Linked DNA regions of Daphnia pulex. The protein of the gene in region 3 purifies or fractionates together with the protein of the main gene of each other region. This does not show direct contact. Links are inferred from orthologs where the notes say so. Each region holds a gene or a part of one and is shown on either strand. Other genes may lie near its edges.

The links.
Region 1: the proteins of pre-mRNA 3'-end-processing factor FIP1-like (region 3) and cleavage and polyadenylation specificity factor 73-like purify together in Homo sapiens (affinity purification with mass spectrometry; 5 studies listed by BioGRID and IntAct, with this or other methods). This does not show direct contact. The link is inferred for Daphnia pulex from reciprocal best matches to the Homo sapiens genes FIP1L1 and CPSF3.
Region 2: the proteins of pre-mRNA 3'-end-processing factor FIP1-like (region 3) and pre-mRNA 3' end processing protein WDR33-like purify together in Homo sapiens (affinity purification with mass spectrometry; 5 studies listed by BioGRID and IntAct, with this or other methods). This does not show direct contact. The link is inferred for Daphnia pulex from reciprocal best matches to the Homo sapiens genes FIP1L1 and WDR33.

The regions. Positions count from the first base shown.
Region 1 is NC_060024.1:9,772,210-9,777,431, forward strand, and holds cleavage and polyadenylation specificity factor 73-like, read left to right. Parts: upstream 1-1,781; 5' UTR 1,782-1,848; coding exon 1,849-1,916; intron 1,917-1,991; coding exon 1,992-2,055; intron 2,056-2,137; coding exon 2,138-2,235; intron 2,236-2,303; coding exon 2,304-2,427; intron 2,428-2,489; coding exon 2,490-2,762; intron 2,763-2,828; coding exon 2,829-2,979; intron 2,980-3,044; coding exon 3,045-3,133; intron 3,134-3,199; coding exon 3,200-3,286; intron 3,287-3,357; coding exon 3,358-3,487; intron 3,488-3,556; coding exon 3,557-3,885; intron 3,886-3,949; coding exon 3,950-4,058; intron 4,059-4,124; coding exon 4,125-4,321; intron 4,322-4,382; coding exon 4,383-4,508; intron 4,509-4,565; coding exon 4,566-4,688; intron 4,689-4,743; coding exon 4,744-4,845; 3' UTR 4,846-4,891; downstream 4,892-5,222. Other genes in the region: 3-ketoacyl-CoA thiolase, mitochondrial-like, read right to left, coding at 4,995-5,079, 5,139-5,222. UniProt on the Homo sapiens protein: Component of the cleavage and polyadenylation specificity factor (CPSF) complex that plays a key role in pre-mRNA 3'-end formation, recognizing the AAUAAA signal sequence and interacting with poly(A) polymerase and other factors to bring about cleavage and poly(A) addition.
Region 2 is NC_060018.1:837,365-842,763, forward strand, and holds the start of pre-mRNA 3' end processing protein WDR33-like, read right to left. Parts: upstream 3,442-5,399; 5' UTR 3,291-3,441; exon of another isoform or gene 3,116-3,290; intron 3,050-3,115; 5' UTR 3,024-3,049; coding exon 2,703-3,023; intron 2,552-2,702; coding exon 2,420-2,551; intron 2,343-2,419; coding exon 2,205-2,342; intron 2,120-2,204; coding exon 1,968-2,119; intron 1,474-1,967; coding exon 1,376-1,473; intron 1,311-1,375; coding exon 950-1,310; intron 875-949; coding exon 1-874. Other genes in the region: uncharacterized protein LOC124188867, read right to left, coding at 4,248-4,487, 4,553-4,800, 4,875-4,998, 5,070-5,164, 5,230-5,341. UniProt on the Homo sapiens protein: Essential for both cleavage and polyadenylation of pre-mRNA 3' ends.
Region 3 is NC_060020.1:2,900,968-2,906,332, reverse strand, and holds pre-mRNA 3'-end-processing factor FIP1-like, read left to right. Parts: upstream 1-1,867; 5' UTR 1,868-1,940; coding exon 1,941-2,027; intron 2,028-2,091; coding exon 2,092-2,215; intron 2,216-2,345; coding exon 2,346-2,554; intron 2,555-2,620; coding exon 2,621-2,857; intron 2,858-2,915; coding exon 2,916-3,128; intron 3,129-3,216; coding exon 3,217-3,462; intron 3,463-3,524; coding exon 3,525-3,637; intron 3,638-3,700; coding exon 3,701-3,847; intron 3,848-3,919; coding exon 3,920-4,127; 3' UTR 4,128-4,214; downstream 4,215-5,365. Other genes in the region: pre-mRNA-splicing factor syf1 homolog, read right to left, coding at 1-373, 439-571, 645-1,069, 1,138-1,261, 1,346-1,494, 1,563-1,604.

The sequences.
Region 1 (5,222 bases), on a different chromosome or scaffold from region 3:
AATGTGTATGTGTGTATATGTTTTTGTGCAAAAATAAAAAGAAAATAGATTCAAAATACAAGCGTGTGTGAAGCGACTTATAGCGTGCCTCAAATGTTTTTACTTTTATTTCGAATTATTTATTTATTTTTTTTTAGATTCCCGAATATATAATAAGCCGGATCAGCACATGAGCAAGTAAAACTACTACAACATGGTCCTGCTGGATATCGATAGATTTAGATTTGTGTTCGTGTCTGGCGCCAAGTGGACAAAACTGGGCAAATCCGCTTATATAAATATGGGGGGGGCTGGAAAATATTATCATCCGGAATCGGCTCTCTCCAACGTTTTGGAAATCTCTCTCTCTCCAAAAGGCAGCCAGAGAGATGACGTATGCGTGCTATACTGTATTATTCACTTTCAATGCTGTTGACAGTTTTGTTCACTTTTTCAAAGATTTGAAATTTCCTCGAAATTTCCAATCGATTTCGAACGTTCTTTTTGATAAAAACTTTTTTTTAACTTTTAATTTCCGGATGAGCGGATGATAGTGATCTCGTGTAGAAGGACAGGTGTGTTCACATCTATACGCCGCCATGACAACCGACTGACAGTCTTCTGGCACGAGGCATCTCCGGACGGACGGACGGCCGCGTTAAAGGCAGGTGAATTCGTAATAGTGGGAAACGGAACAGGTTCCTTCTTCTCCTTGTATATACGTCTATCCAATAGAGCAGCAAGTTTATTTATATACACGTTTATTCTGTCCGGAGGGATGTGCGCCAAGGTTCGATAAAGACGGCGATGACTCTCTCAAATCGGCCAGACAAATGTTATGCAATTAGAATCAGCCGAGAAATCCGCTCGCGGAGCCTGCGGTGCGATTGCTTGCTTGCACGCAACCGTGTGTCTGTGTGCAGGTGTGGGTGTGTGTGTGCGTTTGCACTAAGAAATTATGAAGACGCTTTGATATTTAATAGGAAAAAACTACCCACACTCGACACAGCTCCCACGTTCAATTGTTTTCCGTATCAGCGAATAATGTGCTGTCACGTAGGAAATGCGTTTCAATGTCTTGTTTTTTCGCTGGATATTTTTCGCCAAAATTTATTGTCAACTGCAGGGAGACAAACGTGAACTTTATAGCTTACACACACACATGTATATGTATACCTGGCCCACATATACCGTGCTCGATGCACTGGAGGTTCATAATCGTGATTCATGAAACAATCATGTTACATGCATCCTAGTAAAACTTCATGGAAACTCGGCCCAACCTATAGCTACACCGTGTGTGTGTACGAGCTTGACGAGTTACTGCAGAAAGACCAAATGGTGAAGTTGATATAATCAAAAGTTATAAAAGGAGAATCTTCTTGACATTTCACGAACGAACAGTTTGCCGGTCGCTTTTTGGGTCTACATTTTTACCTCATCTGGGATCGCTGCTTCTTTTAGACTCCGCCACTCTTGGCAGAGACTTGAAACCATCTCGTGTGTAGCTTTCGGTGCAGGTGCTTCATTCCCACGCATAATCATCGGTTATTTATGCCACCATTTCTCAAATCGAGTAGAGTTTCACGAATTTTAAAACCCGTGGACAAAAAAGTCGAGATTGAATAGTAAAAACGCCGTCAGTCCGTTAATATCTTAAATCATCGACCCCGAAAAAATATATCAAATTCTAAATGCCATAAAACTTCACGGCGTAGATTGCATAATTAATAAATGTATACTACGTAATATTTTTATGATTTTATCAAAGTAAAAAAGGCGAAAGCGGATGTGATGTGTCAACTCGCGGAGTGGACATAAAAGTTTACCTGGCAACAGCTTGTAGACCCAAGAAAAACAAAAGACAAAATGGCTAAACGTAAAAATGACGTACAGGTCCCGGCCGAAGAAAGTGATTTATTGGTTATTAGGCCATTGTAAATATAATGTCAATTGACTTTTAATTTGTATTTGGAAAATTCACGGGTGTTTTTTATTACATTACTTTTCAGGGGAGCCGGACAAGAAGTTGGTCGATCATGTATCATGCTCGAATTCAAGGGCAAGAAAATCATGGTAAACAAACGTGTTTTTGTTGTACAGAGTTGAATCGCCATTGAATGTGGGCATTTCATTGATTATGTTTTTCATTTTCTAGCTGGATTGTGGAATTCATCCAGGTTTATCGGGAATGGATGCACTGCCTTTCGTTGATTTGATTGAAGCAGATCAAATTGACTTGTTACTCATTTCACAGTGAGTTTTGGTTTTGTTTTCTTAAGTTTTATTGTCAATAGCTAATGTACAATTGTATTTTTCAATAGTTTCCATTTGGATCACTGTGGGGCACTTCCATGGTTTTTACAGAAAACAACATTCAAGGGACGGTGCTTCATGACACATGCCACAAAAGCAATTTACCGTTGGCTGCTCTCTGATTATATTAAAGTAAGAAAAAAAGGCATTTGAGTTTTAGTCGATGCAGTGCTCACAAGTAATATTTCCAACAGGTCAGCAACATTTCCACAGATCAAATGCTCTACACAGAGGCAGATCTGGAGGCATCCATGGAAAAGATTGAAGTTATCAACTTTCACGAAGAGAAGGATGTTGGTGGAGTTCGTTTCTGGGCTTACAACGCAGGCCATGTTCTGGGCGCCGCTATGTTCATGATTGAAATTGCCGGCGTGAAAGTGCTTTACACTGGGGACTTTTCCCGACAGGAAGACAGACATTTGATGGCCGCTGAGATTCCTACTGTTCGACCCGATATCCTAATCACCGTGAGTTAAGCTTGAAGTATTTCAAGGCGAAATATGTCCATGTGATAATCTGTTTTATTCTCGAAGGAATCCACTTACGGAACTCACATCCACGAGAAGCGCGAAGATCGAGAAAGCCGTTTCACAGGTCTGATCCACGAAATTGTCAATAGAGGTGGCAGATGTCTGATCCCGGTCTTTGCACTGGGTCGAGCACAAGAATTGCTTCTCATTCTAGGTATTAGGTATTAGAAGTAATTTTTTGCATAAGAAAACTTCCAATCAGTTTTAATTGGCTTTTAGATGAATATTGGAGCCTGCATCCCGAACTTCACGAGATTCCCATCTACTATGCCTCGTCGCTTGCACAAAAGTGTATGGCCGTGTACCAGGTACTAATCAAATTCAAAATCTCGCAGCGATCGCATCAAACTTTAATTGGTTCTCTATTCTTGCAGACTTATATCAATGCCATGAACGACAAAATTCGGCGGCAGATTGCCATCAATAATCCTTTCATCTTCAAGCACATCTCTAGTCTCAAGGTACAATAATATTTGAAATAACCTGTTATAAAATGGTCCTTTATTCAACGCAATGTATTGTCATTCCCCAGGGTATCGATCAGTTCGAAGACGTTGGCCCTTGTGTAATTATGGCCTCTCCCGGTATGATGCAGAGTGGTCTATCTCGCGAACTCTTCGAAGCTTGGTGCACAGATCCTAAAAACGGTTGCATCATCGCAGGTCAGTGGAAAGAAATGTTTTAATTTTTATATAATTAGTTGTTCACGTTTATTTTTGTTGTCGTAAAAGGGTACTGTGTTGAAGGAACATTGGCAAAACATGTTTTGTCAGAACCGGAAGATATTACCAGCATGGCTGGCCAGAAGCTACCAATGAAGCTTTCAGTTGACTACATTTCATTCTCCGCTCACACTGACTACCAACAGACCAGTGAATTTATTCGTTTGCTGAAGCCACCTCATGTCGTTTTGGTTCACGGCGAGGCCAACGAGATGAACCGACTCAAAGCGGCGCTCATCCGAGAGTATGAACATGATCCAGACACTCAAATCCGTATATACAATCCACGTAACACTGCGGCAGTAGAACTCCATTTCAAGGGCGAAAAAACGGCCAAAGTAATTTAAAAAATCGTAAAAGCGATTCACCCAATGAATTTTATTCTAACGCCTTGTTGTCTAGGTGATGGGATCTCTGGCGTTTGAAAAACCAGTCGAAGGCCAAATCATTTCTGGTGTCTTGGTCAAACGAAACTTCAAATACCAAATTGTGGCGCCGTCGGATATTTCGAGTACCAACAATTTTTATTCAAGTCTTAATTTCTATAACTTTAGTACCCAATTTTTTTGAATTGCAGAATACACAGACATGACTGTAAGCAGCGTAACTCAAAGGATGGGTATCCACTACAGCGGGAATCTGCAAACGTTACAAGCTGTCCTGTCTCACGTTTCGCCTGACGTCGAAGTTATCGAGAGCGACAAAGGACTAAAAACATTTCGCCTTTTCTCTGCCATTGATGTCATTGTTGATAAAACTCTGGTTACATTAGAAGTACGCATCTTAATGATTTGTGAAGACCACTTCTTTAATGTTTAATATTTGATTTGTTTAGTGGGCGGCTGATTCTGTGAACGACATGTTCGCTGACGCAGTGCTTTCAGCTATCTTAAAGTGCGAATCTCTTCAAGGTTCGAGGACGATTGTGCTACCCACGACTGTTGATCATGCCCGCTTCAAGGTACTAAATTTTATTTGTTTGAGAATAATATCGGTCTAAACGTGTGAATTTATATAGGAATGCTTGATAGAAATGCTTCAAGATATGTTTGGAGATGATGCGGTTCCAAAAATGTTCAAAGGAGATAAATTCATTGTTACCGTTGACGGAAAAAGAGCCAATATAGATCTCACAGCATTGGTAACGTCTAAAATTACCGTTTTCTTATAAAAATCTAAATTCTTTTTTATTAAAGGAGGTGGAATGTCCTGAAGATGTTGGATTTCAACAAGTGGTTCAAACGGCTGTACTTAAATTATATCAATCTTTGGCACCAAAAGCAGAAAAAGTAAAATAACTTGTATTGATATTTAATAATGGAAGAATAAACAACTGCTAAAGTATTTTTATAATCCATCCATATATTTTTTGCATTGTTACTGGATTGTGATTTCTTAAAAATCAAAGTCTTCGCACTAATATTGCCCCGCACGAAGTAACAACCGATTAATTCATGCCCTCAAGAAGAAGAGCTACTCCTTGACCACCACCAATACAAGCCGATCCGATAGCATATTTCAGTTTGCGACGTCTAATGATAAAAGTAAAATAATTAGCATATGGTTCAACGCATCAAAGAAAATTAATTACCCCAATTCGTGAACCAAATGCGCGGTAATGCGCGAGCCGGAAGCTCCAAGAGGATGACCAAGAGCGATGGCACCACCATTGACG
Region 2 (5,399 bases), on a different chromosome or scaffold from region 3:
CGGATAGAAATCGTCGTCGTCCAATTCTCGATCTTGATTGTACTCGCCAGTTGGAACTACTTCGGGTTTAGTCTCCTCCTCCTCAACAGTAACTTTCAAGCCCATCGAAGATAGAACCTGATTAAACTCTTCTTCGCCAGTACGAATGGCTTTCTCTAACTCTGAATCGGCTTCGATGGACAGTATCGTGCCATCGATTATGACAGCTGTCGGAGTGGGAAGTTGAGTAACAGGCAACGACTGAGCCGTGTCGAGCAATTCTTGCAACTGCTCTGGATCATTAGCCGGTAGGCCGAACAGGGTCAGAGATGCGCGACCCAACTGTTCCATTCCAAAGGCAACGGGATCAACACCAAGGACGTGATCCTCTTCATCAGACAGTACACCCGATGCTGACGATAGGCTGGGAGTGGGTAAGATGGCTGGTTTCTTACTAGCACTGCTCTCATTCCATTGTGCCTGGAAGTGACGTGGAATTGGTTTGGCATACGGAACTTTCTTGATGGGTTTCACGTCTTGTGCTAATGGTTCCACATCCAGACCAGGAATCATGCCTGCGCTTAATAAACTGAGGCTACTCTGACCGAGTTGTCCGTCTCCGCCTTCTGCTTCCACTTTGTCTTCGGGTCCCATTCCTGGGATATTGGGAGCGTGATGGTCATCCAGCAACTCGGCGTCTTCGGGCATCACTCCAGGCGGTAACGTGTTGAGATTGTATTTGTCCCTCATCTTATCGCCGGGTCTGTTTCGTGTCCAGAACTTTGACGTGTGGTCATTCGAACCCGAACAGAGAATGTGTCCGATCGGATGCCAGGCAAGAGACCAAATGAGACTTTCATGAGCTTGATCGATAGCACCAACTTCTTTGTCCGTTCTATGTTTTCAAAGCAAAACAGAAAAAGAGTTAGGGTAAGGTTTGAAAAATACACGACTTAATAAACAAAATTACCCAACGTTCCAGAAGAATATAGCTCCGTCAGATCCACCGCTACAGAAAAGTTCTTCGTGAAATGGATGCCACGAAAGACAGGATGCTTCCTTCTTGTGACCGCGGAAAGTTTGCAATTCTTGATCAAGCCGACGGATGTCAAATAGCTTGATCAAATGATCTCTGGAAGCGGTGATGAGCCACTGGCCGTTCTTGTTCCATTTTGCGTCCATAACTGTGCTTTTATGGGCGTGCAGCGTAGCTAATGATTGACCAGATTTGGGATCCCACAGTTTGACTGGTTGCTGGTTGTCTTTGCTGCCTGAAATGACTAGACCCTTTTGCGGGTGCCAATCGACGCATTTGACATCAGCTCCGTGCCCTAATGGAAACAATTGATGGACATGAAGTAGGCTTGCAGAAAAAACAAAACAATTAGTTGGGTACCTCGAAGAATTTTTTCCTCCTGACAGCGGACAAAATCCCATATTCGCACAGTTCCATCGTCGGAGCAAGAGGCCAATTTTTGATCCGTTGGACTAAAACTGGATACACAAAAACGTGGAGGGTCTTTAATTGTAATTGAATACCCTTAAAATGGTTTTATAATCGTCAAGGTAGATTAATTGAAAATGTTGACTTTGTGGATAAAAGAAGTTTAATTGGGGTAGAAAAGTATGGGTCATTTGAAAAGTTAACCGTAAGTCCCGACAAGTATTTCGATCTCGTATACGCCTATTGCAATTAGGCAATATCGGGTGCGCAGAGTTTCATAAACGAATCGTATAAAATGTTTTACTTCAAAATCGTATAGAGGGTTGAAAAAGAAGTCTCTTTTATTTTCCTCAGTTGCATCTATCACAGATCAGTTGTTCTTGGTATGTAGGATTTTCTTTTTTTTTCTCTTTTACTTTCAAGCGTACTTGTATTATTGGGCAATGAGCATTTATAGAAGAAAAGATTGGGAAAAGTTCGGAGGTTATACGTATCACAGCAATGAAATTTGATTTTTATTTTGGTTTGGTTTTGGTTTCAATACCTGATGCCCCGAATGGCTTCTTTGTGAGCTTGAAACATCTTGACGTTATTCATATTTGACTGCCAGTATTTGATGTAGCCGCCATGGTCCCCCGTCACCATCCAGATATCGTTGTGGGACCATACCATGCTACGGACCGGACTGTCGTGAGCCTATTTAAAGGGTAAGAAGGATTAGATTAATAATTACTCGTTACCGTGTTATTTCTTAGGAGTACTATTTACGGATTTTTCATACCTGTAAAATAGTTTCAAAATTGAACGTCAGGCCGTTCCACAGGGTAAACTCGCCGCTTGATGCCCCTGTGATTAAACGACGGCCTTCAGGAGTCCAAGTAAGGCAAAATACTGGACAACGAATTTTATTTGTTGCCACCTTTCGAGGTAAATTCAAAGAAAAAAAAAGATAAATAGAATAATTCAAAATCGGGCTTTCCATCTATAATGCATTACTTTAGTAAAACGTGTTGTTATGGCATTGCTGGGCGTATCCAAATAGCAAGAGGGAGGAACCATTTCTGGATAATAACACACGTCGGGTTGAAGACTTCGCCTGTCTCTGGCGTCCCGCTGCCAGACTCTTGTCTAAATTTAAGTCAAGATAATACTATATAAATACAAATTGTATTTGATAAAACTCTGAACATATAAATTAAAGGAAATATTAAAAATATAAACATGTTCTAACTACAAGAGAAGAAAGGCAATCCTTGTATTTACAAGCTTCTCAATTTACCTCTAGCATACGAATCACTGAAGAGTAATAATCTACAGTTTTGCGCATTGAGCTCTTGCGCAACTGTTTGGAATCATAGTCTGACCGATCTTGGCCAGGCTTAGGGTATGGTCTATTGAAGGGATGAAACATGTGGCGACCAGGTGGAATTGGTGGTCTCAATGGTTCACTTCCTGGAACAATCCTAGGTAATCCTGCTCCAAGGAAAGAATTATTTCCTGCATTTGCAGGGCTCTGGCTGGGGCCAGTGGCATGCCTCGATTGAAATGGTGACTGATTCATGCCATTGGCACCAGGATAATATGCCATTTGGGTTGCCATTTTTCTGATAATAATTAGTTAAATAGCTGAAAAAAAGACAATAAAAAATTTTAGTTAATTGAAGAACAAGTTTATGTAAACATGAGAGAAACCGTTATGTGCACACCGCACGTCAACTACTTGTTTCGTCAGAAAATGAAAACGCCCAATTTCCACAGATTTTAAGTGAAATAAGTACTTAAAAATTTACATTTAAATTTTCGATCAATGCCGACAATCGGCGCTGATGATATAAGTCTGTAAATCCCCGATAAAAAATGCACTCACCTAAAATGTTCAAGAGATGTTCTGTTGCCTGCTCAGCGCCATTTTGCAATGTTTGGCTGCGGCATAAGGCATTGCCTAGTTGCCATATCAAACGTAGGTATCTCTCGATCCGACAGAAAGAAGAAAACAATAAAATTCAAATATTCGATTGATTGAAATTATCAATCAATAAACCAAATTTTAAAAAATATAAATAATTTAAATAATTCTGGGAAAAGTATAATTTGATAACGATAAAAAATTTAATAATAACAAAAAATTCACAAATTTTACGTTGAAATAGCGCTGAAGAATGGTTCGTAATCGGTAATCGTTGAAACTTGAAAGGAAAAAACTCAAAAAAGAAAAGAAGGGATTGCGTGTTATCCTTTTTGGTACTATATAATAAACCGACGGTATGTTTACGGTCTCGATACTCTCGAAGAACAAATATAATGTTATATCATTTTTTCTGATTCTATTTATGTTAGATCAGATCTATTATCCGTTTTTTTTTATTACAACAACGAGTTAGAAAAATGTGATAACGTGTATCGAGATTGGACATAGCACTATTGATAATCAATACCTGTTCACCTCAACAATCCAAACAAAGGTGACCAGACGAGTTTCTAAAGTCAACTCGTTATCCTGTATCTTTTTATTTTTATTTTTATTTTTCGTGCAAGTCGTGCGGTTCGAAGACGAATTGTAATCCCGACACAAAACTGAAACACCTTAAACAGGAAATCAGTTCGACAAAATTTAACGGTTTATTTGAATTATGTACATAACAGTTCCATGCCAAGAGAAAGTTTGAGCTAATTCACACAGCAATTAGCTCAAAGAAACGCTTTTACTCTTTTTAGGGAAAAGTGTTGTTAATAAATATACGTATTTATACAATATTTACAGAAGTTGTTAGGCTGGATATTACAGTAACACCAGCTTCATCTGTCCACTCGTTATAGATTTTACTCACGCAGTTTCCGTTTCATATCTAAGCGGTAAACGAACTTCGTCGTTGTCAGATCTATAAATGTCTGAAATGTTGTTCGCTCCTGTATCGGAATCCAAATTGATGGTACAGGATTCCTCTGGTTTGTCGCCTTTTACAAGATGATAGTCATTTAGCAGTGAAGGTTGCACGATGACGTAGCTATTTCTGACAAGCTGTTCGTAGCTGGGCGGTAGGTCCGTTTTGATTTCTTTATTCTGCTTCAGCCAGAGAACGGAAGGTTATCAAAGTTATCCAATTAGAAATTATGTTTCATTATGCTTACGCGTCTGAGGAGATGCGCAAAAAAGCAGCAGTAACAAAAGGTTCCCAGTAGCATGACAACACCAAGCGTGAATAAGATAAACGCGCTTTGAGCAATCCATTCCGGCACTGTGTTGGTTGATTGCTGCTGTTTTCTGAATTGATCACTTTCTTGTTCCGGCAGATTTTTTTTGGCATTCGTATTTTGAGGCGCAAACTTTAAGGGAGCATTTAAGTTTACTAATGCTGCTGGGCTTTTGGTTTTTACGACTAAAATCGAATAGAAAAACGGGTAAATTTAAACAATCGAATTTAAAAAAATTGTTTGTTAAAGAAACACTAACCTTTTCTAGTAGAAGGAATGTCTTCTACAAATCGTTTCGGGTTCACAATAGCACCCGTTACATCCAATAAAGTTTGGAAGAAAGTCATGTTGCTTTGTAAATCATGTAACCAATCAATCGACATCTATAACAATTAGAGAACACACAACTTAGACTCGTTTTAAATGAGCATTAAAGACATCTATTAATTTTTACCGAGTACATTCTGTTGTATTCCTTTTGAGCATCCGTACAGCCTTCGAAGCATGCAGTTTTCTTTTCCATTTCATTGCCATATGCCTCGGAGCAAGCTTATAAGAGAATATTTAAAATAAGACGAGTTGTTTAATTGGTCATTATAAGTAACACCACTTACATTGATGGCAGCTCAGAAGTGCAGCCGCGTCGTCAAACTTCGCGAACACGGAAGCTGTGTTAAAGGTCTCAAAGAAACGGCAGCCACGTTGACAATCAGAACTGAAAAGTTCCTGTTCGGATTACACAGTTTTAAAAAAAATTACATAAATAAATTGTATTTTGAAATGT
Region 3 (5,365 bases):
AAACTATCCGTGAATCGTCAATCTGATCATTTTTCTCATAAAATTTGGCAAAGTCGACCCACAGCGTGTGCACCTTTCCAATGGCCTGCTTTGGATCGACTGTCTGGACAGCCTCGGTAAAAGTATTGATAACTTCATGAGGTTTGCCCTCATAAAGCTGGACTCGTTTATGCCACTCGGCGACATTATGGGGGTTTTGACGTAAAAGAACAGAATTCAATAGCAAGGGCCGGCGATCCATTAAATCCTCAAAGCGGGCCATCCTCAACTCAACTTCAATATCATCGTCTTCTGTAGGATTAGGTTTCTGACCAATCTCTTCCATCATATGATTCAAATTCAACTCTTCAAACTGGGCATAGGCATCAAACACCTGTCGTAAATCAGAAAAACGTTAACTTGATTCGCATTAAATAAGACGACCACAAAGTATTTTACCTGTGTGAAGTCTCGTACTGTAGTAACTGTCTGAATGGCTTCTTCGTAAATATCTCTTGCTCTTTCAAACAAACCACTTCTAATATAGTAATCGGCAAGGGAATTCCAAAGCTGGCCAAGTTGATCAGTGTACCTACATAAGAATCCAGTAAATTATTCCTATGTTTGTAAAAATATTTGCATTTAATTTTTTTCCAGACACTCACCGTCGAAGACCTCCTCGAATGATTGCATCCACGTTAAGACTTTTAATTTGCTTGGGATTTTTCGAATTAAGTTCGCACAGTTCATTCCACAGTTGGTGGTTTGATTTTCCTGTCTTCGAAACAAAGCTGTCCTTGTTCACAATCTGGGCAAGTTTAACAGCTGCCTCATCAAGTCTGTCAATAGATTTTAAGTAATCGACAAATTCCTCTGCATCTTCGGTCGATAGTTTAAGAAAACGACGGAAAACTCGAACAGCTGTTTCTGGTATTGGATGCATTTTAACAAACTTCAAGTAGAGGGGCCAAATTCTGGAATGCTGGGTGATTGGCAAGGCTCTTAGAGCACGGTCAAAGACCTTTCTCGTAGTGGTAATCTTCTGTTGAAGAGTCAGAAACTTGCAATAGTCCATCCAAATCCTTGGCATCTATGGTATTCATTAAAAACATGGTATTTAATAATGTGTGATAATAATATAATTGGCATTTAAGATACCTTGTGCATGAATACCAATGCTCTTTCAAAAGTATTGTTGGCATCTTCATACAGTGGATCTGTTATACAGCGACCTTTAGTTTGCTTCCTTCTTAGGCAGAGATAACTGTACCATAGTTTGTAACTGTGAAGAGACAAACATGTGGATAGTTGAAAATGAGTACAAACTTATTTACTATGTACTACTACAAGAACCAATCAAACGAACCTGCCAGGCATTTCCTTCAAAGCTCTCTCATAAATCAAATTGACAACAACAGGAGGGGCATCCTTTTTGAACTCGCAATAGCGAAGCCAATGTTTGACAGAGTAAGGGTTCCGTAGAATCTCCTCTTCATACGCTAAATCTTCTTCACACTTTAAAGACAGAAGACATATTGTTAAAACCTATTAGTCAACTTCAATATAAAACAATGTATTATTACCAAAACAATGTCTCCAGTTTTCTTCCCTATACTTTTATCCATTTTGTTTATGAATTTTCTCGCAGCCACTCGGCTCAAATAAAATTTAACAAATAAATTTACGAACCAAACGTAAATGCACGTCTGCCGGGTGAAGTGTTGCCAAGTTGCACACTTACGTCTAACCCAAATTAAAGTTGAATTTTGTCCCTAATAGCGTCTTTTTATATAACGAGATCATTATAAAAATGGATTATCACAAGTTTTTATAGTAAAAATACCTTATTTTTGCGTTTGATGTGAAACAGCGACAGCCGACAAGCCACAAGCGTACATTCGCTGTTGTTTGTCCCCTCAGGCCTAAATTGAAGTGGGGTCTTCTGCTGTTTACAACCGAATATGGCCGACACTGTCCGGCACCCAGATGAGGCAGATAATTCTAATTCACAATTCCCTTATTCCTCGGAACAGTTACCAGATGAATACGTGAGTTTAAAAAAAAAATTATTGTTCGTCAACTGAAATTGATACTTGTCTCTTTTTTTTTCAGGGCGATGATGGAAAAATCGACCAAGACACCACCGGTAATGGAGAAATGTACGAAATCGAAAATGAAGATCATATTGCCATAGACAGAAATGACGGAAATACGGAATACGCTGGAGAAGGCTATGGTAATTTCATGTACATTTTTAATTATGGAAAAGTTCTTCAACTATTATCCCTTGTCTCTTTCCCTGTGTTGAATCGCTTGTCTGGTTTTCCCATAACAGTTTTAACATCCTGTATTTTCTATTGTAAAAGATCCAGAAGAAGCTGCAGAGACTAACGAAGAAAAGGATGAGAGACAAGATGAAGATCAAGACAATGATGACGATGAGGATGATGAAAGTGATGATGACGTACAAATCACGATTGGTGACATAAAATCTGGCCCAGCAGCTTATGCTGGTTTTAATGTCAAAAGAGGAACAGCTGGAACAACGGCACAAGGATTGGGGGAAAAGAGCAAAGTATACATTGAGCTACATCATGTTTGATGCAAGAGTTTGTTTTTAACATATGTATCTTATCTTAAGTTCACTGTGGAAGAGTTCGAAGGCTCAATGGCGATTAACGGTGTACCAGCACATGAATTTAGTTTGGATTCGCTGGAAGATAAACCTTGGAGGAAGCCTGGTGCTGATATCACTGATTATTTTAATTACGGTTTCAATGAAATAACGTGGCAAGCATATTGTGAGAGACAAAGGCGATCCCGTATGGAGTCTGGGGCTGGTGTTCCGGCTAGCCTTGGATTAGGACCCCCACCCAAGGTAATAAAATACGTAAACAAATGAAGCTCAAAGACGATATTATTATTTTTTGATTCAGATGATGGCGACCCCGGCCCAAGCGATTCCGATATCAGTGGTTAACGAAAATTCAAAATATGCGGGGTCAGTGGTTGTGAAAAAAGCAGGCCCTCCGCCAGCACGCAAAATGGCTGGTGCCATTGATGTCATTGGTGGAGGGAATCTATCTTCACGCCGACCAGAATCAGGCGTTTCACCTGCTCCTTCTATGGAGGAGCAACCTCCCGAAGTGGTAAGGCCCCGTATCCTTAATAAAATATTCATCCAAAGTCAACCAAAAAACTTTAAAGTTTATTATTTAAATTTCATTTTAATATCAGCCTGAAGCTCCTGTGGAGAAACCTCCCGTATCGATCGATTTCTCACGTCCTCCTCCTGGTTTTCCAAATATGGCTCTACCTCCTCCATTTGGTATGCCGCCACCAGTAATTCCACCACCAATGATGTTACCACCACCACCTATAGTACCTGATCCCTACGCCAATGAGTTCATGGCTGGCCCAGGAGCTCCTGGCGATGATTATTACCAATACGAACCTACTCAGGATTCACAGTGGGGATCTTCGGTAAGGATTTTAAAGACCATAACAGAAAACAAAACAAAATAAAAATAACTTTTTCCTCTTAGGACTGGAGAGGACCACCACCTATGGGAATACCACTACCAATGGGAATGAACCCACCGGGAAAGCAAAGAAGAGAGAGCCTGGGGACCCCTCCTGTTCCTGGAGAAGAATCTCGGTACTGTATATAAGTGGTACTCGATCTCCGTACAGCATTTGATTAGCTCTTCCTTGCAAATAGGATAAGCAGCAGCAGTCGAAGGCGCCGTAGCTCGCGCAGTCGCTCCCCTAAAGACGACCGAGAAAAAGAAAAAGAAGTGGAAAAGGATCGAGGCAAAGACAGAGAAAGGGATCGTGACCGCGATAGAGACCGAGATCGCGACAAACGGTAAGAGGAAAATCAAACGTTGACGAGCTTCTTCTGAAAATGCAATTGATATATTTCGTTCAACTTACACAGGGATCGACGCTCGGATAAGGACAAAGAGCGTGTAAGTGGCCGTGACCGGGAAAGAGATCGTGATCGTGACCGAGGAGAAAGAGACCGTAGTGATCGTAGACGTCGTCACCGAGGCAGTAAAAGTCGGAGTCGGAGTCCCACTTCTCATAAGCGTTCCTCCAAGCGCTCAAAGAGGGACAGAAGTAAAAGCAAAAGCTCGTCTGATTAGTTTTCGATACTCGGATTTCACTCCCTGCCTTTGTTAAATTTTGCGCAATTGGCCCAATTTAAAAAAATACACTCCTTTTTTCATTTACCTATTTTTGTTGATTTTCCTGAGTTATTCGTCTTAATCACAATTTATTTCAGCCCATCGAATAAGATTCAAAAAGAAAAGATTCCAACGCATATATTCGGGATGTATTTTTTTTCAAAAATGAAAGAGGGTAAAGTCGGTTGCACAAAGAGTGTGTGCTATTACGGAAATACATATGGAGGTGTTGTCTTTTTTCCAACCACAGAATTTAATATTAAAAAAAAGGAAAACTGTCTTTTCGATGGAGAGATTGAAAGAGAGAAGCGTTGATTTTCCAGAAAAAAAGGATTTGAGGAAGGAAGCGGATGTGGGATGTCGAAGAGCGAATTCTGGAGGGGACGATTTTTTTGTACATGAATCATGTTTACAAGGGGGGTGGGATAGGGGAGGAAAGAGCACTAGTGATATTTTTTACAGCATTTCGTAATTTCAATACATAACACCAGCGTTTACAAGGATACATTCTAATAATAAAGGTCGAAATAAAAGCCAAAATCAGGAAATAACTGACGCAAAAACCAAGGGATTGTAGGAAGGGGAGAGCTACACAAGAAAAGAAGGGACAAATGTCCAAAAGGAAGTTGGTGAGAATTAAAGAGAAAAAAGAAACAATTCACAAAATATTGGTCCGTGTGAGAAGAATCCACGGGATAAAGAGCAAAGAATTTGAAATAAACCAAGTAGCGTCAGCAATAAAGGAAATCTACGAAGCGGACCGGCGTTCTACAACTGAAAAAAGAAAAAAAAACAATAGGAAATCGAGGAGTTGAAAGTTTTGGAGAAATCCGCAAAAAAAGGACCCACAAAGTTGGTGACGTATCGTAGCGAATGAGTGTGTGGGGGTCACACCACACAGCTTGACTGCCGCACACAACGTAAATTTACAGTCGATGGGTGGAGAAAAAGGAGAGAAAAGAGCATTTTCCTTCAAAAATCTTTCCACTGTTTTTACTTCGCTTGGTTTTTGTTATGTAAAATAATGGAAAAGGTTCGCTCTTTTCACTTTTGCCGCTGTACACTTTACAGAAAACCAAAACGCTAATTGAGGATGGGAAATTCTGTTTTGGGATCAAGTAAGGGGAAATTGATGTCATTTCTCAAGTCAATGAAGGAAGGGAGAAGCAATGAACAAAACAAGGAACAAAAAAAAA